Caenorhabditis elegans: one gene and its partners. The protein of the gene in region 4 purifies or fractionates together with the protein of the main gene of each other region. This does not show direct contact. Each region holds a gene or a part of one and is shown on either strand. Other genes may lie near its edges. The genes, in order: Y43F4B.10, T07F12.1, dgn-1 and cpg-2.

Region 1 (3,624 bases), 6.2 Mb from region 4:
TGCGGTCACTCAACCATGGTCCCAAGCTATTTCGCGAGAATCAACAACGACACGGTGCCAGCCTGCAAGAAGTGTGGCGATGTCACAGGGAATGTGGAACACATGCTGAGATGTTCTATCCAACCCCCGCTCACTCCGAAAAAGGTGGCAGAGGCACTGGGCCTCCCCACCAGAACTTTCGATCCAGGCGGATCTCAATGATCCAAGGACCTCCACGGATCCATCGCGGTGCTTTGCACCACTACTACTACTACTACCCTGGAGGAACTCACTGAGGCATGGACGCCCATGGCGCCCTTCTGGTGGTGCTTTGCACCACTACTACTATAATACCGGCGAGATCACAGTACTTTGTTGTCAGTTGTAATAGTGAGGGAAGAATCCGAAAGTCCCAAATCCAAAAGCATATCCGACGATACAGGTGTAGTTTCGGATGATACAGGTTCTGAAAATCGTCCTGCTCATTTGAAATCTCAGGCACAATTCAAACCTTCAATTTTCTGAACCACTAGTGATCCATCGGTTAGCGCTGCAACTATCGTCGACGGATTTCGGAAATCGAATCGAAACACTCCAGCAGAAGTGCTAATCTCATTTTCCAACTGTAGCCCGTCGGCTTCATCAATCTTCAAAATGCACAGTGAGCCGGATCGAGTGTCTGAAGATGTATCGAGAAGATACGTGGATACGCAAGCACGTGATGTGTCCTCTGATGGTATCCGACGAGCAAATGCTGGGCGATTTGACAGCTTCACACTTTTTGATCGCATTTAAATGAGCTCAAAAAATTTGTAATTTTGAAAATTTACTAAAAATGCGGTTTTCAAACGTAAAATGTTTCAATTTTTCGTCAAAAATACGGTGTCCGGTCTCGACACGAAACAATTTGTTGTTAAATGCGAAAAGGTGTGCGCTTTTAAAGAGTACTGTAATTCCAAAATTTTTCGTGATGTGGAATTTTCATCGAATTTTCAGTTTTTTAGAAATAAAGTATTATTTTAACGAATAACGTTAAGAAATCGATAAAAATTTTACAAAAACCAAAGTTTGAAATTACAGTACTCTTTAAAGGCGCACACTAGTTTGTATTTAACCAAAAAATTGTCGTGTCGAGACCAAATACCGCCGTTTTGGCTCCAAAACCGCCAAATTTCGAGTCTATACATTGGTGAACTATTGAGATTGGAATAAGACACATATTCATGGAAAAAATATTGGGAATAATTTAAAACCCATGAGGATCGTGATGGAAATTATAGCAAAAAAATTAAAGTTTCCAGTTTGCAGGAATGGTAAAAATAAATACAATTTGAAATACATATATAAAAAAGCAAGATTAATTCTTCGAGGCGGCCTCCGATGATGTCTCTTCAGGCTTCGGAGTCTCTGATTTCTGCGCAACTCTTTGTGCTTCGATCGCAGCGTCTGCCTTTTTTTTGTCTGTTTCGGCCTCTTGTTGACACGCTCTGCAAATGATTTTTTTTCTCTCAATTGATTTCTCGATTATGACGATCAAATATTTGATCGACACTTATAATTCGAGTGGAAAATCGACGAAAAAACTCAAAAACCTACCTAATCAGAACTTTTGCCGCTTGAATATTCCTCTTCAACCGTTCACAGGTCAACTTATTGAATGTATATGTTGGACGAACGTCTTTCCCGATTTCTTCGATCAACTTGAGCAGAACTTCGTAATAAGGAGTGCCTTCTTGCATCTGAAATCATTATTTTTTCAATTAAAATTGTATATTTAGATTTTTTTTTAAATATTTTACCTGAAGATTCGGCACAATTGAGATAAGCGTTTGAAGATCTTCTTGTGTCGCCATTTTTCTAAAACAAAATAGGTTGAATGAATTACTGCGAGAAATCAATAAAAATACAGAGAACGGGAACACCACCGTTCTCTGCGTCTCTTTTCAAAACACGTTTCAATGGAGCACATTTGCTTTAGGATTTTGGCGGTTATTTTTACGATATTTTTTTTTGAGAAATCGAAAAACCAAACAATTTTGTTTTGTCGAAATTTTGAAAAAAAAAAGGATTTTTGGAAAAATATAATTTTCCTCTTTTTAGAGAAAAACTATCTGTTTCTTATGATTTGTTCTCATTAACATAAATAAAATTTGATAAAAAATAGTTTTTTTTGTTAATTTTCTAAACATTTTTCCAATTTTTCGGTTTTCCCGGTCTCGCCACGGCAAATATTGGTTAAATGCGGAAAAGGTGTGCGCCTTTAAAGAGTACTGTAATTTCAAACTTTTGTTGAAACGTACGGAATTTCATGATTTGCAGCAACACAAGTTTGAAACTACAGTACTCTTTAAAGGTGCACGCCCGTTTGTATTTAACAAAATATTGTCGTTGTGAGACCGGGTACCGTATTTTTAGTGTGAAAATTGCAAAATTTTGCGGCTGGGTAATATAAAATTGAATCGAGATATTTAAATAAATTGGTTAAAATTGATACCACATTTAAATAATATTTCAAAAAATTCGATAAAAAATATTCACAGAAGCTCGAATTTTATTAACAAAATAAATAGTACATGTTATTCGGGAATGAAACGAAAATGAAAAAAAAATGCCGCAAAAATATGAAAAAATCATCATCACAAATTGAACAACCGACAAGGAAGGACACGAAATATACAAAAAAAAATTCCAAAAAATTCCATAAAGGTGCAATAAAATTCTGGGAATTTCCAGCTAAAACGCTGAAAATATTTAAATATTATAGATATTTAAATCTATGCAAAAGTTTTTGCAATTTCGATAAGTGCACTATAGGTTCCCGTTGTGAATCCAATAAAGGCAAAAGTGAGAAGAACGATATTTTTGATCCATAATCCAGTGCTCAACTCGTTTTTCGCGTAGGATGTCTGAAAAAAATTCAATTTTTTTCATTTTTAATTAATTTAAAAAAATTGGAATTCAAAAATTCCTACCAAAAGTTCAATGCACGGAGGGAAGAGAAGAGCCATTGAAGCTCCAGAAAATGCTCCGATTAATGAGATGAAAAGAGCCAAATGAGGAATAAGCTCAGCTATTGCACCTGGAAATTTTTTTTCAAAAAATTAGAAAAAATCAGTTTTTTTCTAAATTTTTATATAATTTTTTTCTCGTCTAAATTAATTATTTGATATCAACCTGAAAAAAAACCTTTGATTTTTATGTGCAATTTTTATAGTATATTTCCAAAATGTCTCAGAAAAAGTCTGGATTTACCGAAATTCTCTCAATTTTTATTTCATTATCGATTTGAAACACAATTTTCTGCGAAAAAAGTTTAAATAAATGTATAATTATCGATTTTTAGACCAATTATTTTATTTTTTTGATCAAAAATGTCAGAAAAAGTCTCAATTTACCAAATATAACTGTTTAAAAATTTATTAAAATTTTCTAAATTTGTTATGATTTTTTTCTAAACTTATTATTTGATTATTATTTTTGAAACACAATTTTTCCGCAACAAAAAAACTTAAATTATCGATATTTAGGTCAATTTTAGATTTTTTTAAACGGAAAATGAAAAAAAAAATAATTTTTGCGAATAATATTTTTTTTTTGAAACTTACAAGTCAAAATAACTCCGGAATATCTGGCAATGTAGATGTA
Region 2 (5,746 bases), on a different chromosome or scaffold from region 4:
TGCTTGTGCTCGGATCACAGACTTTGGTGTGTTTTGGAACTCATTACGTAATTTAATTCATTTCTTGTTTCAGGAATTTCGAGAACCCTTGATAACGAGGGAGAAGAGCTGTGCAACGTTGCGGGTACATTTTATTACATGGCTCCAGAAGTTGGAGCGAACCTTTTAAAAACTTGTCAGTATGACTCAAAAGTTGATATGTGGAGCATCGGATGCCTTCTCTACCAATGCGTTACAGGAGAGGTTAGTCCTTCCGAACCCTAAAGTTTTTCCAAGAACAAAAACGCAAATAACTCCCCAGGGGCTTCGCAGTTGAAGTGGAAGAATGACGTAGATAACTTCATATTCACAATTTTTCTTTTGCAGGTCCCATTCGATGAGTGCAGTTTGTGTAAGCTCTTCCTGTATGTGGCAGGGGCTAACTTCGACGCCTACGACCCGCCTGAGCTGCCCGACGAGCTGAGTCAAGAGGTTTCGGGGATTATTCAATCACTGCTGCAGCTCGATACCACTCAAAGATGCACACCTACTCAGTTTTATGACAAAGCAATCAACTGGAGTCAACAAATATGTTAGCCGATCCTTTTTTTTTAAATGTTTAACCATTACAAAGAGTTATCTCATATCTCTACAAGTAGATCTATCATTGAAATATATTTGAAAAGAGAAAACAAATTTCGGGTTTCGAAGTTCACAGAATGTTAATTGATTGTCGAATAAAATGATTTATTAGTTGAAAGTATAACAATTTGAATATGAATCGAATAAAAAAACAGGAGAAAGTTGAGATCATGAACAACGTCGGTGATAAACTGAAGAAAAACCAAACTAATCAAAGGCCGGAGAACCGTCAGTTGAGACCATAGACCAAACTGACTAAATATTATAACACATCTTCAAAAAATTTTCAGACAAAATTATGGTAAATTTTCAAATTTTCCACATCGAGTCATTTCAAATATTTTTTAAAAAAGATTTTAGCATTATAAAAGCAAACTTGAAAAATATTCCCACTGGCAATAAAAAGTTAGGCTCAAAGTTAAAGACTTTCAATTTACATAAATTCGAATAAAGAACTCCCGCCAAAAATGTTAGCATTCAGAACCGTAGAAAAATTAATTCGGCTTACAAATTATCAAAAAGATTATTGAGTGGTCCTCATATTGTCTTTTCCCTCTCGTTCTCTTTTCAGCGAGGCCAAATCTTTTGTGACGAGCTGCAATGGATCAAAAGTGCGATTGTACGTGTGTGAAAACGACGGAATCGGGCTGCCCACTAGTCTCCATAATCCTTCTCGAGAGTTCACTTCTACACACGACAAGTATGGTGTGTTTTGAAGTAGGTAGTAGAAATCGTCAGTTGATCTGATATCACCGCCGACCAGCTGCCGAGTGCATGTTTCGAGTGATGCACCATGAGCCACAATGAGAATGTTTCCTGGAATATACATTTAACGTGACGTTTTATGAGATGTAGAAGCTAGAAAGTTCATAGGGTGATAGACAGGAAAATCACGAGAAATACACATTGATCACTAGTGTCAAAAAGTTGAGAAAAGAAATCACCTTCTGTGCATTCCGACAAAATTTTGTTTATAGAACCAAACGATCTTTGATAGAAATCTGCTAAGGTTTCATTCATTCGAAGCTCCTTATCCGTCCAACATGGTACATAGTTTTCTTGTACAGGGTAGCCTGAACATTTTTAGTATTGGAATTAAACGCCGAGCATACGTACCAAGCTTTTTCAAATCTTTTGGCGGAATCCAGCATGGTCTTGCGTACCTTGCAAATACCATCCACTCATAAAGCCCAGGTTCAACGGAAAACTGAATTCGCTTGTCAAGACCTAGAACATGTTTATTTTAAGTGATGTCAGTTGTCTTGCGGGAAACATCGAAACATGACGTACCCATTCCCTTCAATAGACCAACTGTTGTTTGGATGCACCTCAAAGCCGGGGAACAGAAAACATGGTTGATTTCGATTCCATTGTCACGTAATGCTCGTCCTGAAAAATTAATAGGTCTTGTTGATGAAGAACATAATAGATAATAGTTTAGACAAATTCTGACTGAAAATAAAGTTATTTTTTGAAAAAAAAAACTATTTAAAATACAGTACAGTATTAGAAATGATGTGGAAAAGAAACCAAAGAACAGTATAAGCTCTTGTTTTTACGATTTATAAAATCTTTCATAAATTTGTAATTTTAAATGTTTTTATAATTATTTTTATTTAAACGTTGTGCGAATTGAAATACATTTTCAAAAAAATACCTAAACTTTCTCGAATAACATATGTAAAAATAAATTCAAGTTTTTCAAATTTTAACTGTGTTTTTGAGCATTTAATAATGATTTGTTTTTTAATAGTTCTTATAATTATTCAATATAACCAACTAAAGCTCTTAAACAAATTCCATATTTTTCAACATTTTTCTGTACAAGACAATAGCCAAAATTCAAATGAAATGACGTTTTGTATAAGTTCGAATAAAAATGCACATTTAATGAAACTGCATTGGAATATAAAATTTGCAGAAACATGTTTTTAAAGTTGAATTTCAGAACTATGATAACTGTGAAACAAAAGGTACGCGGTCAAAAATTTTAGCTGCCGAAATTGCCGAAATTTTTCGAAACTTAAAAAATTGAATTTGGCATAATTCGCAATTGTAGTTATTTGTTAATCACTTTTTTCGGAAAACTCTTCGAGATCTTATAAAAACTAAAAATGTAAAAATTGCATACTTTCAGTAATTGTTTTTCAAAAATTGGTCATTTTGGAAATTGCTGGTTTTTTTTTGATTTTTCAGGAAATTTCAAAGATTTCTTAAACAGCCTAAATCAAATTGCTATGGCTCTAAACAATTTTCCAACTGGCAACTGGTTTAATTTCAAACAACTTAATTTGTTATGAAATTCAAAAAATAATCTATCTAAATTATTGAAATAAACTTGAAAATTGTAATTGTTATTTTTGCAAATAAATTGCAAATTTTCAGTTTACCTGTCAATTTTGATTGAAGATAACCAATTTCAGTCAACGGGGTGTCGGCAGCAAAACCTTGCCATCCATCGGCACGTTTTGGAAGAGTTCGGGGAAGATTGATGTCAAGCGGGCGATATCTACAGACTTAAACTTGTTCTAGAATGCTTAAAATAACGTTTACCTTCCTCTGCTGTCAAATGAATTGATCCAAAGTCCTGACTTGCCAAATGCAAAATCACATCTTTCACCATGACGGATAATGAACACTCTCCGCTCGGGCATTTATCTGGAATACAAACGAAATGGAAAAGTATATTTATATAATATTATTCATATGCAAAATGAAATGAAATGAAATTGAAAAGAGAAATACGATAGGAGAAACAACAGAAATAGAGATGCGCAAGCGCCTAGAGAGTGATGATTGCTGAAGAAACGTAGAGAAAGAAAGACGGAGAAAACAGTGGAATCGAACCTGAATTTGGATGCGTGCCAATAACTTTCACAAGCAAATTCTACAACCAGTATAAGACACAATTCAAACAATTGACAGAACCTCAAGGTCGATCAATAAAAATCCGTCGCACGCTCTAATTGTGAACAATAGAATTTAAACCTACATATAATAGCGCAATCAAAAACGAGTGATAAGAGACATATTTTTCCACTTTGCAACTGTCTGTCACAAAATAAAACGTAGTAGTAAAAGTAAAAGCATCAAAATTTTTGAAACGAAAAATTGGTTTGACCTCGCTAAAATGGAAAAATGGTGTGTGTTGAACAGAAACCGAAATCTAACGAGCGCAACATAATTGAGTCAAATTCAAAAGACATTTTTTTGATGGAAGTGCCAATGTGGGAAATATTTTGAATTGACTAGTTTTTAGAAATTATTTTTTGAGTTGTTTATTTCGCAAAATCACAAAATTTCAACATGTTAAACGCAAAGAAAACCGTTTTATAGTACTAAAATGAGCAAATAGTTATCAAAATATTTTTGACAAAGTTTTATTTGCATTCAGAAAGTTTGGATTCTAAAAATTTTTTTAAAAAGCCAAATTTACCAAAACTTTCACGACAAGTTTGAAAAATCTGAATATTTTTGGCAAGTTTAATTATTATTTGATTGGAAATGTTTTTTAAATTAATTAATTAAATAAGGTTTTACGAAACTTTTCTTTCACAAAAATTATATAGGGTGCAACTAATATCTTCAACCTATTTCGTTTGCGAAAAAGTTGCGCAATTTTTATCTATTTATGAATGCTGAGCAAGGCAAACTTTGAAAAAAAATATTTAAGTGGGAAATTATTTTTACTCTGTCGAAAATAACTATTTTAAAAATGTAAACTATTCAAGAAAAGTAAAAGTTATCAGATGGGAACACAATTAACTTTTATTTCCGTATTTTTTCCTTATATATGAATTCTCGTAATAATTAGCGCACTGTCTTGGTAATTCAGCGTTTTGAGCTCTAATAACTTTGTAATTTTTTTTTTAATACTGTGTGCGTTAATTCAAAATTTGTGAAATTTTCCGACTTTTGTTCAGTTAAAAATATTATCAACAAACGCAAAAAGAATCAAATTTTAGGGCTTTAGGGCAAAATCAGGTTTTCCAGAAAAGCGTCTGAAAAATTTGCAAAGCCCGTTTCACATAGAAATTAAAAAAAACTCAGAAAACAACTAACATAACTAAAAAAAACTAAAGTAAAATCCCAATGCAGCACTGTTAAAAGAAATACGATTTGAAATCTCGGTGACTCATTGTCAAAAACCGTTTTCTATGTCACTAACTATGGATGATGGATATATAAAGCAGTGAGAGGAAACGGAAGAAAAAGACAATGAAAGCGGTCGACTTGCTGAGTTTTATTTGCCTAAAGAATTAAAAACTTTCTCTAGTGCTTGTGGTGCTCCATAGCCACACCGCATTTGACAAATGACAAAAAGTGAAAAGAGCATAGGACACTGGTGTTCCATTTTCTCATATCTACACCATTTCAAAACATACATATTGAAAAATTCATTGTAATGGCAACTTTGTCATAGACAACGGGAATGGGAAAAACCAATGGGGAGGAATAACCCGTGGGCGATACGGAATCCAATGTCTCGGGAGGATAAGTATGTGAAAGAGAAATAACGAAATATTAATATTAGGTTACAACCAGATTTTTGATGTGAAGAAAAAAAAATAAAAAAAAGAATATGCAAAAATGACATGTAAATGAGGAAAGCTGAGACAGAATGGGGACACCGTAGGCAAAACGTCGGAAATCACAACACAAAATTAGAAAGAACCGAAATGATAATTGAACTGTCACTATTAAAGCTTTGAGAGGATTCATTTAGAAGTAATGGTCCTCATCTGGCCAAATCTCCCATGGAGCCTTCTTCTGGTGATGAACCCATGGTGCATAGTTCCTCTCGACTGGAATGTCCAACTTGATGGTTCCTCCCTCTTCGAGGTGGTCACGGAAGTAGCGTCTGAAAAATGATATAAATTGTTCTTCACAGAGCCTAGTGCAGGTAACAGAACATTTTCAACCAAAGAATAGTACTTATAATTTTTATACACTTCCCTTGTTATAAACGTTCATCAATTTTTTTTCTGGTAAAGGTTATAGCGAATGAAATCTTGTGGATCAGAGATGCGAGACCAAAACACTTAAACAAATTCAAATTACTCTAGATTTCAGAAAGAATTTTACGAATCAATGTGTGCGCTAATTTTATGAAATGTTGCGTCAA
Region 3 (5,732 bases), on a different chromosome or scaffold from region 4:
TTGAAGAAAGGAGAGTGATAAAGTAATATAGGGAGAAGAGAAGAAACATTCGAATATAAAATTGAAAACCATGTCGGTAGAAGAAGAACAACTTTAAAATTCATATACAACGGCAAAGTTTTTTCTAAAACACTTCTAAAAAACTAGACATTAAACAAAAAATTTTGTTTTTTTTTAATTCTGGGTAGATGAATGCGTTTTTCAAGTCAAGTCATAAATAGTATTTATTTATGAAGATAAAATATTTTTATTTTTCAAATTGTTGAATTTTGAGCAGGAGTAAAACTAATTTTCTAAATATTATTGTAACTTCAGTTTTAAATTACATTTTCTCAAGTATCAATTTTTCCTATAATAAAAAGAAAGGGTATAGAACTCTACTAGCCATTTGGATAAAATATGGAATACAATATAATTATAGTAATTAGAACGATGTATACGAGCATAATTAGGCGAAAGGCGGCCCATACAACTCGCAAAATATAGTTCTTACTGTTCTCCGAAGATGCGCGCCGTCGACAAGGTAATACCGACTGAGGCTGTTCAGATATGCCTAACAATGCCCTCACGACATTTTCGAGATCGCATAATTGTCGTCGAGAGCGGTAATCCTGGGAATCTGTGGGACATACGGAAGGTAAAAAGATTGAAGACGTGAGACGAGATGGTGACACAAGAAAGAGAAAAATGAGAGCAGGTGTACATTTGACTGACACTAGTGCTCCGTTGACAACCTGTGACTGAGGATTACCTTATTTCACAAAAAGAACACACAAAAACCCAGTGAGAAATGATCGTCTCAGTTCATTGTTCTGACACCTTTCCGTGCGCGAAATTGGTTGGATTAACGTCCAGTGAGGAACGTATTGAAGATGAAACGAACGTGCTAATTAAATGAACGATGAGGATGATGATGGGTGCCGTTTGCCATCTATTAGGCATGGATTACCTGGCTTAACGTTCTCGAATTGCTTGAATCGACAGCCACTGTGCAAAGGGTAATTGTATACACTTCTAACACGGGAACACCGGAGACAAAACGTACTGCTAAAACTGAGACTAACACGCCTATTGTTCTGGTTTCGTACTTCGACTGCTAGTAGTCAGCGCGTTCGTCTCATTCTCATTGTCCGGATCCCCATGTTGACAGGAACCAAAAGTATTAGACTTTTGTTTTTTAATAAAAAAATGAAACGGTAAATCATGAATCATTCCTCAAATATTTTTCAGCCACCAGCTTCCATTAAGTCAATTTTGACAATTTTTCCAAAAAAATATTTGGTGTAAGAGCAAAAAAAAAGAAAGTGATATCACAAGAGATTAATTGAAAAATTCCTGAAGCACACTCCTGTGAACAAGCTAAAGTTTTTTGGTCGCTCACAATGAAGCGGACATAAATCATTATCAGACTAGAGGATTAAAAGTTTGTAATGTTGCGGTAAAATCTTTAAACTATATAAGCATAATCAGAGAAGTGCAAATTTAGTTAATTCAAAATGTTAGATCATAAATTCAGTTATTCAATGTGACCGTATTCATATTAATTTGGAGCCGATTTTCTCATAAGCTGTTGAAAATATCTATTCACCACCGGGCAGATCGTAAACCATCTGATTGAATACAGATTTCCTTATGTAATCTATCCGTATTGTGCAATACTTTTGACGCGACAACGAGGGCAAGAAATGGCACTGTGTGCAGCTGCGCGCGTTGAAGCAGATGCTTGTAACGACATAAAAGAGCTCCTGCGTTGAAGAGATGGCACACAAATGGGGGCACGATTCCATCACATATCATCAAATTGAGAAGAGTCAAGGAATGGACAAGGACGTTTGGACAGAAATCAGATTTGGATAGCGTAGATTTCGAGTAAAAAACCCCGCGTCAAAAAAGTTTCCTCAGCAAAAAAGAGAAAGTTGTGCGTATGGGTAGGGTCAAGCACGAGGCAAGCCCTGTTGACCAAACATATAAAGTGAGAGGCGAAAAATGTGGGGAAGGACGGAGATGGTCCTATTTGGTCGGCTCAACCTCATAAAGTTGCGTCACCGTACCTGTGGCCAGGTGTGTGCAGGATGGAGCAAACGAGGAGGCAACGATTGGAAGATAAGCCTAATGACTGGGTGTTCAGACGTACAATGCGGGTCCGTTTGGAACAATTACAATTTTTCTTGGTCAATTCAAGACGGATGGTGATATTTATAAGGATGAAAGAAGAACGGATGACGAGAGCTAATCAGAAATGGACATGCGATACGTTACGGCTACGAAGAGAGAGGAGGAGGAAAATGGCATGCAACATTTGAGCAGTCTAATAAAGCCGAACACAGATGAAGAACGAAGCGGTGGCCAATATTCAATCTGCATAATAAATAAGCGATCCGTACAAACAAAGACGTTTCCTTCGTGGTCTTCCGTCCTTCCGACACTCCCTACGGACCATGAACCGACCGACATAAGAAGGCCAGCTCCCACGGGAGCTTTTGGTATGGTGTCTCGAATGAATTTTGCATATAAATAGAAGAAACCGACCGAAACATATTGAAAACGGAGATTCGATTTATTTTCCATCTTATCTTTTATTGAGTCAGTTCAGAGGGGTTTCAATTGTCACTTTGACACCTTATTAGCAACCGAACAAAGAGTGCCGGATTTGCTAAGTGAGTGTAAAAACAAGATTATAAAAACAGTGGGCCTTCTTATTCTAGTCTTTTGAATGTTTTGATTGACGTAAGATCTTGGGCCACTTTGTTTCTTTTGAGAATTGCGAAGACGAACATTGTTGAGTAAAATTTAGTAGGGACGAAATTTTTTGAGAATAACAAAACATTTTATGTGCGCCAAAACTTTTTTCGATTTTTTGGTTCTTCAAAAAACTGAAAAACGGAAATTTTCGCTTTTGAGAAAACTGCAAAAACAAATTCTGAAAACACTCCAAAATCGGTATTTTTATACAGAATGCAATATTTTTATTACTGATGACGCCCTATTTCATACAAACAACATACATAAATTGCACTTTTTCAAACTGGACCCTAATTTTTTTTCGATTTTTTGGGTTTTTCGGCTTTTTGACCCACACCGCAAAATTGAAAAACCGAAAAACGTGAAGAACGGAAAACAACATTTTTTGTTAAGATTTAGGTTATTTAGAGAAAAAACTCGGTTTTTCGAAAAAAAAAAACTAGCAGACAATTCATATAATACCTAAAAACCAGGATGTTTTCGAGTTAAGTGAATGTTTCAAAATAAGGACGTCACTCTGAAGTCGTACGAAAATTTTTTTTGAAACACCTATCTCTGTACACATATGAGTAGTCACAACATTTGTGGCTTCGTACACCTTTGAAGTGTTTTTGAATGCACAAACATGACGCCGCTTTTTTTGGATTTGTGCCAAGAAGCAGAATAAGTTTTTCAGGCAAATACAAAAGAAAACATCTCGTTTTCTGTGTACAAAACTACATATATCAGGAAACGAGATTTAGTAAAACATTTTATAAGACTAAAAGAATTGTTTAGTTACATAGGAAAATTTTTTTAATGCCTCGAAAAACTTCCGGGCACGCGTTCGAAACTGGCATTAAAAAAAGTCTCACCTCTATGTGTTTATCAATAAGCCGGGACTAAAAAATGGGTGCGCCAAATTGAAATTTCGTTTTCGATTCTAATCACAAGTTCGGTTCAATACACGTTGTCGTTCTGAAAATCGAAAGTAACTTTTGCAACATATACGTTCAAGACATGAAATGGAGCGGAAAACTTCAAAAAGGGGTGTCCTTTTGAAACTTGGCAAAAAGCGATTTGTATCAGTTGACAGACTAATTTACGATAATGTACATATTGAAGAAACTTTCAAATTGGAACTTCTGAGATCTGATGAATATAGGTTTTTCAAAAAAGAATAAAAAAGCTAGCAATGTGTATAGTTTTGATGTGAAAATAAATATCGTAAGAGAAAAAGAAACACTGTCAGTTGCATACCTCATAAATATAATCAAGGAGGTATTGAAATTGCCGAAAAAACGGTTATCAGAGGAAAGAGATAGCAAGTACGAAATGAAGAATGCAACCTGGAAAATTCGCTTTCTCTTTTGTTGCATCCCTCCTTGTTGATAACACACTATGAATGTGGTTTTGACAAGAAAAACATACGCACACAGTTTGAAGCATTTTTTTTTCTTGTCACCAACCATTCGGATGAATTATACCCGAAAATGTGTGTACACTCGTTGGAGGATAGGGGAAAAAGAGAAAATGGTCAAGGTAGGTAAACAGAAAGCTTTCATAAACGTTTTTCTTACCATTTTTTTGCCTTTTCTTGGGCATAAAAGTTAGAGTTACTACAATGAATGTCAGTGTGGTTTGTACTATTTTCTGCATACGCAGAGGGAAATCAAAAATATCAATAGAGCGAAGAAAAGCGGTGAGTTTCAAAAAGGCTCTTCCCATGAAATATAACCCCCATTGTAATTAAAATTCTGAAAAAAAAACCAGAGTGCAATGAGTTTTTGAATGCGCCGTCTATATGCGTGGCAAGGGAATACAGCTATTTTCATTTTATCATATGTATATTTTCATATCTATATGAAGTTTGCAAATATATAAAACAAATTTTTTACTAATTTCGAAGAGCACATTTAAAAAAGTTGAAATTTAAACGAAGATATTAGATTGCAAATATCAATCTGTAGTTTTGTTTGATTTTGAAGTTATTCAAAACATAAAACGGTAATGGATTTTCAAAAGAAATAAAATAGAGTCTAACAAAACAGAAAATTAGGATTTCCAACAATTTTTGCTTTTGATAAGACACGCTAGATGTTGTTGATCATAAAGCCACGGTAATCATTGTCCTGGCCAAATGTAGAACTAATTAAATTTTGCGACAAAGTCCCTGTTGTCATAAAAATGTGATTTTTCCAGTCCTACGTTATTTAGAATTTAACACGATCCGTCCTGCTATTCAAGGAAAAATAAAATCAGGGCGTTTCTTGTTAGTGGTTTCTCGGTATGTGTGTCCAATACACTAATTACTCGATGGTGATTGAAATCAAATATCAAGACAGGAAAGAGGACACGAGTAACTGATAAAGGTCAAATGCACATTAAACTTAACGCACAAAAAGTTAGGCAATGTCGTAGAAAGTGGTGTGTGAGGAGATAGAATGGTGAGTCAGGAACGGTAGAGGGTTTTCTATTCGAAAGAATAAAAATCTGTTTTCTAGTAAAATTGAAAAGAGTGAGAGATTGAGAGAAAAATAATGGAATAAAATCGGAATGGTGTTTACATCATTTCCATATTAAAATTTTGAATTGGAAATTTAAAATACAAACTACTGGTACATATAGGAATATGAGATACTTTGAATTTTCAAATTTACAGTTTAGATATAACTGCATAATAATACCTTTTGAAAAAGATTCTTATACTTCTTCAAGGTCATCAATTAACAGAAACAAAACAAAAAAAAAGATTGCGTGGTTCAAAGATATAGTTTCATATTTCTTGCAATTGCATTCAAAAAGCAAGCAAAATGACCTTCCGAGTGAAGCGAGTAAAAAACGAGGACCAAGCCAGTTTGACCAAATGTCTCACTATTATATGATCCGATTCGTAGACTGCAACGATGAGAATAATAATTGTAGAGTATCAAATGAATAGTGGGGCAATTTTGAAAGAAGAAAAGTGGAATGAGAGGAAAATAGCCAATGGTCACAATGGCTAAAAACGA
Region 4 (4,957 bases):
TATTGATGGTTATTACGTATTTCTGTCAAATATGTAAGTTACATAACACTTTTCAATATTATTCAGACACGAAATATTCCGATTTTGTGCCAAATAAACTATGTCTGGTCTCGTTACGACAAATTTTGTATAAAATTCAAAACGGTGTGTGTCTTTAGAGTATTGTAATTTCAAACTTTTGATGCTGCAGAATTTTCATAGATTTTTCCTATTTTTACAATAAAAATATGTTTTTGAAAACTCAAATCTAACAATAAAAACATATACACTTTAACAAAAGGGAAAGAAAATATTTTCTAGAAAACAATACAAAATCAATAAAAACTCCGCAGCAATAAACGGTTGAAATTACAGTACCTCTTTAAAGGCACACACCTGATATTCGTGGCGATATCCTAATAAATATAATAAATACAGTATAAGTGTAAAAGTGTAGGAGCGTGTCGAGACTATTCCGCATAAAAGCGTCCCCTTTAAAGTCGTAGAAGTGAAAAAAACGCAGTAATCTAATAAATAAATTACCCTTACAACTAGTACTCTGTATTTAACCATAAACGTCAATATTTTTCAGCTTCTATGCTTGTTGGTTCCTCTGCGAAACGAATTATTGAGGAGTATCTGAGCATCTACCTGTCTACACTTGGTATTAACTGTAACTTCCGTTTTCAAAAACACGGACGAATAAGATACTTAAATATTATATTTCTGAGTCAGCTGATCGAGAAAACAATAGAAGATCTTGCACAACTGTTTACATTATTCCAATTGAACCAACCCACTTTGCCATTGAGAAAGCTTGTCAAAGAATCTCTCTAAAGCTAGAGTGGCACTTTTTCATCTAAAACTATCCCACGTGGGTACCCACCCCTTTTCAAACTTGCATTGTTATTCATTCAACCCTCAAACTTTTCCTCGAGTAATAAAAGATCATCTACAGTAATCACCCAGCATCTCATGAAAGCCAAAAAATTAAGATTCAGAGTTCTAGTCAGGCAGTTTCATTTCTCAATATGAAAAATGCAATATATACAGGCAAGTTTACAATAATATGGGGCCTCTATGGGGGCAATAGTTTTTCACGGGGTTAGTCAATTAGTGTGTAATTTTGTAAAAAAAATGGGTACAATTAATGGCATTGAAGCAGGGTCGATGAGTCGACGCACTCGGTGTTGGCAGCTGAGAAGACGGCGTTGCTCGCGGCACAAGTGAAGTTAATGAGTTGTCCGGCAGTGCACTGATGATAAGTGGCAGAGCAAAGGCCATCGGAGAAGAGGCCGTCAGTGGAACAGTCGAATGCAGCAATTGGAGTCTCATCAATGAGAATAGTGTCTGAAATAAACATTTAGGGTTGCTAATTTATGAGACAAATTCACCTTCGATGAGGCATTTCAACGATGTTTGTGGGTAATCGCAGATCAAAGATTGATCGTTGAAAACCAGGCTGGATGGGCACTCGAAGATATCAACGTGTCCATTCTGGCAAGAGAGAACACGTGGAGAGCATCCGATAGCATGAAGTCCATTGTCCAGTCCAACGCATTGATTTTGCTCTTCCACACCGGATCCCTCTCCTGAGCTTTCACCAGAGGCCTCACCAGAAGCCTCTCCAGATCCTTCTCCAGATTGTTCACCGGAAGCTTCTCCAGATTCTGAAAAAAGATAATAAAATTTTGAAACTGTAAAAAACGATCGTACCTTCACCCGACGTCTCTTGGCATTCGGAAACATTGGACTCGTAGTCGCAACGTACGGTAGACTCGGAGAACTTGAGTCCTGCTGGACAGAACATGACGATGGCACGGCCGTTAGTGCAAGCAGTGAATGACGATGAGCATTGTCCGAATGAGAAGTATCCGTCCTCTTCGCATGTTGGCTGTGGAGTTGGAAGTCCAGCGCATTCAGCGACGTCCCGTGGCCAGTCACAAACAAGAATTGTTGGATTGAAGACGAGAGAAGCTGGGCAGTCCATGATGCGAGCAATTCCACCAGAGCAAGTGAGGAAGTTGGTTGAGCAAACTCCATTTGGATGGATTCCGTCAGCTTTTCCTTCGCATGTTGGCTCGAGTTCGCCACTTCCTTCCCCAGAAGCTTCACCTGATCCTTGCCCAGAAGATTCTCCAGATGCTTCACCTGATCCTTCCCCGGAAGCTTCTCCAGAAGCCTCTCCAGATCCTTCACCAGAAGTCTCCCCTGATCCATCGGTGATGGTCAGGTCTTCCTTGCATTCCTCGACAAGAGACTTCCAGATGCACTTCTGAGAATCAGCATCGTAGAAGAGTGGAGTTGGGCAACTGAGGAAACGGGCCGTGTTTGTTGTACAGAAGAAGTAGTAAGTGGTACAACCACCTGATGAGTAGGCCCCGTCTTCGAGATTCTCACAAACTGAAAAAAACATTTTATCGATGAATGATTTGAATTAACTTACCATTTTCGACTGTCTCCTCTCCGGATCCTGAACCCTCTCCAGAAGCTTCACCAGATCCTTCTCCAGATGCTTCGCCGGATCCTTCCCCAGATGCTTCACCGGATCCTTCTCCAGACGCCTCACCGGAAGATTCACCAGATCCTTCACCTGAGGTCTCACCAGATGATTCTCCAGATCCTTCGCAACCAATCACGTTGTGGCGCCAGTCGCAGATAAGAAGTGGCTCGTTGTAGATGAGATCAGCTGGGCAATCCATGATTCTTGCGATACCTCCCGAGCAAGTCAGAAATTGTGGTTCGCATTCACCAAGAGCGTAAAGACCATCGAGAGCGTTTGTACAGTCTGAATTGTCAATGTTAAAAAAGCATCTGGACAAAACTCGCACCTTGAAGGAACTGTCCATTGGCAGCTGTGGCAAAAGCCAGGAGTGTGAGTGCGGCAACCGTCTTCATCCTCCTGAAATAAAGATCTTTAAGAAAAGAGAACAAGAGTTGAATTTTTAAAAACGGTAGTGTCAGAAATAAAAGAAAATACTAAACTACTTTGCATGCACGATATTCTCTCACAAGAATAATCGTATGACAAAGAAACCAACTGAAACAAATGAAATGAATGACTAATGCTGGATAATTTCGAAACCATTGGCAAACAAATAAAAACAAAACAAAACAAAAATTTGAATTTTCCCGCCGGAGGTCAAAAAATGCTAAAACAGATCAAAATATGAGAAAATAGGAAGAATACAAGCCTAGTATCATGTTTTCAAAATTACAAAACTGAAAAATGAGCACTGGAGCGCGTTTGTTTGCGCTTCAAAAATTGACGCGCGAAATTTGAAATTTGATTGTTTTTTGTTTTTAGTGCAATTTTTAACTTTCAGGTGTTCAAATTTCACATCAATCTGTTAAAATTAACATTAAATATTTAATTTTAATTAGATGTCCAAACTTCCAAGGAATTTTCTCTTATCAGCAATCGACTTCATTACCCCACTGAAAAAAAAGTTTTCGCGAACAAGTAATACATGCATTTTTCACAAAAAAAACACCCGTTTCGTGTGAAAAGTATACTAATGTTGCGTGACAATAAAAATTGATAACTATATAAAATTATTCCAGATATTTTCAGCTTTTGATTATAATTTCTTCACAGAAGTTTTGGGAGCTCATATCTGATTTTGAACAAGCGAGTTATTTTTTTGGCTTTTTTCTTTAAATTAAAGAAAATAGGTCAATCTCCGAACATTACTGTTAAAAATTTACAAAAGTTTTAATATTTTCTAATTTTTTTTCAATTGTTCAAAAAAACTCAAATGCCCTTCTAGGCCACGCCCACTTTTTTGTAGTTTTCTGGTTTTCAGCAAAATTGCACTGTTTTTTTTTCGAATTTCTTTTTATTATATGTGAATTGACAATTCCCCGCAATTTTAAAGTAAATTTCGTAAGCCGACGAGAGAGATGACCTTCTGGATACTTTTTGATACAGTAACCCACATCGAGAGTTTTCCTCTGTTTCTCTGTATATGCTCACATTCGATTTATCCCCTTAGTTTCCTTCCGTTTCATAGTAATTTTCAATTTCGAAAAACACAAAAAAAGTTATAATAAAAATTCTCTCTCGATTAGGTTCACCTTATAAAGACCGTGTACCCATTCAGAGGCGCAGAGATCTGCAGGTGCGCATTTCCTTTTTATGAGCTTGGGAATGAACGAACTGCTCAATTTGCCCCTCACTCGTCCCAGCTACTATTTACCACTTTTGCACATTCTGTCATTCTTTGGATAACAGTATCATTTGGGGACATGGAGTGGCAATATACAGTTCTATTTAATATCAGGTTGTCCCATAAGTTTTTGTACTATTTTTTTTTTGAAAAAAATTTATTTCTCTCAAGCGACAAGTAGTACTATTCACACAAGTATTCACCATTAGTGTCCACCACTTGTTGCCATTTACTAGGTAACATCATGATGCCACGGGAGAAGAAATCCGGCGAACGCGATGAGAAGAAAGTGGAGAGTTCAGTTTTGAGATGCTCTTCGTCGTCGAATTGCTTGTCGCGCATGTAGTCACTGAGAGACAAGAACAAATGGTAGTCGGTTGGTGCAAGATCTGGAGAATATGGTGGATGCGGTAAAACAGTCCAACCAAGATCTTGCAGCTTTTGGAAAGTCTTCTTGGCGACATGAGGCCTAGCATTATCGTGAAGAAAATATAGTTTTTCATATTTTCCGTTGGTCTTTTCTGCAACTCGGTCCAATTGGGCACAATAGTAATCAGCAGTGATAGTTTTATTAGTTGGCAACAATTCCCAGTGCACGGGTCCTTGAACACCCCACCAGACACAGATCATAATCTTTTTTGGGTGAAGATCAGGCTTTGGCGTCGGTATTCCTTTCTCACCGATCGGAAGCCATTGACGTTAACTGGAACGGTTAACATAGAGCACCCACTTCTCATCTCCAGTAACCAGATTGTTCAGCCAATCGAACTTTCGACGAAAAGTTAGAAGTTGAGTACAAACGTTGACCC

Evidence for each region.
Region 1: the proteins of cpg-2 (region 4) and Y43F4B.10 fractionate together in Caenorhabditis elegans (co-fractionation; one large-scale study listed by BioGRID). This does not show direct contact.
Region 2: the proteins of cpg-2 (region 4) and T07F12.1 fractionate together in Caenorhabditis elegans (co-fractionation; one large-scale study listed by BioGRID). This does not show direct contact.
Region 3: the proteins of cpg-2 (region 4) and dgn-1 fractionate together in Caenorhabditis elegans (co-fractionation; one large-scale study listed by BioGRID). This does not show direct contact.

Annotation. Positions count from the first base shown.
Region 1 is NC_003281.10:13,312,280-13,315,903, reverse strand, and holds Y43F4B.10 (uncharacterized protein), read right to left. Parts: upstream 1,837-3,624; 5' UTR 1,833-1,836; coding exon 1,779-1,832; intron 1,719-1,778; coding exon 1,576-1,718; intron 1,467-1,575; coding exon 1,337-1,466; 3' UTR 1,183-1,336; downstream 1-1,182. Other genes in the region: dph-7 (methylated diphthine methylhydrolase), read right to left, coding at 351-445, 491-770; slc-36.1 (Amino acid transporter transmembrane domain-containing protein), read right to left, coding at 2,754-2,885, 2,952-3,058, 3,585-3,624.
Region 2 is NC_003284.9:4,891,590-4,897,335, reverse strand, and holds T07F12.1 (Steroid-phosphate phosphatase), read right to left. Parts: upstream 3,282-5,746; 5' UTR 3,276-3,281; coding exon 3,175-3,275; intron 3,131-3,174; coding exon 3,012-3,130; intron 2,011-3,011; coding exon 1,912-2,010; intron 1,849-1,911; coding exon 1,738-1,848; intron 1,695-1,737; coding exon 1,566-1,694; intron 1,438-1,565; coding exon 1,145-1,437; 3' UTR 705-1,144; downstream 1-704. Other genes in the region: T07F12.4 (Protein kinase domain-containing protein), read left to right, coding at 1-26, 74-243, 367-576; T07F12.2 (PA domain-containing protein), read right to left, coding at 5,344-5,482.
Region 3 is NC_003284.9:10,925,300-10,931,031, forward strand, and holds the start of dgn-1 (Dystroglycan 1), read right to left. Parts: upstream 3,700-5,732; 5' UTR 3,597-3,699; intron 2,521-3,596; exon of another isoform or gene 2,316-2,520; intron 1-2,315.
Region 4 is NC_003281.10:7,101,110-7,106,066, forward strand, and holds cpg-2 (Chondroitin proteoglycan-2), read right to left. Parts: upstream 2,882-4,957; 5' UTR 2,878-2,881; coding exon 2,811-2,877; intron 2,768-2,810; coding exon 2,426-2,767; intron 2,383-2,425; coding exon 1,696-2,382; intron 1,650-1,695; coding exon 1,374-1,649; intron 1,330-1,373; coding exon 1,127-1,329; 3' UTR 981-1,126; downstream 1-980. Other genes in the region: ZK418.11 (NR LBD domain-containing protein), read left to right, coding at 1-33, 572-816.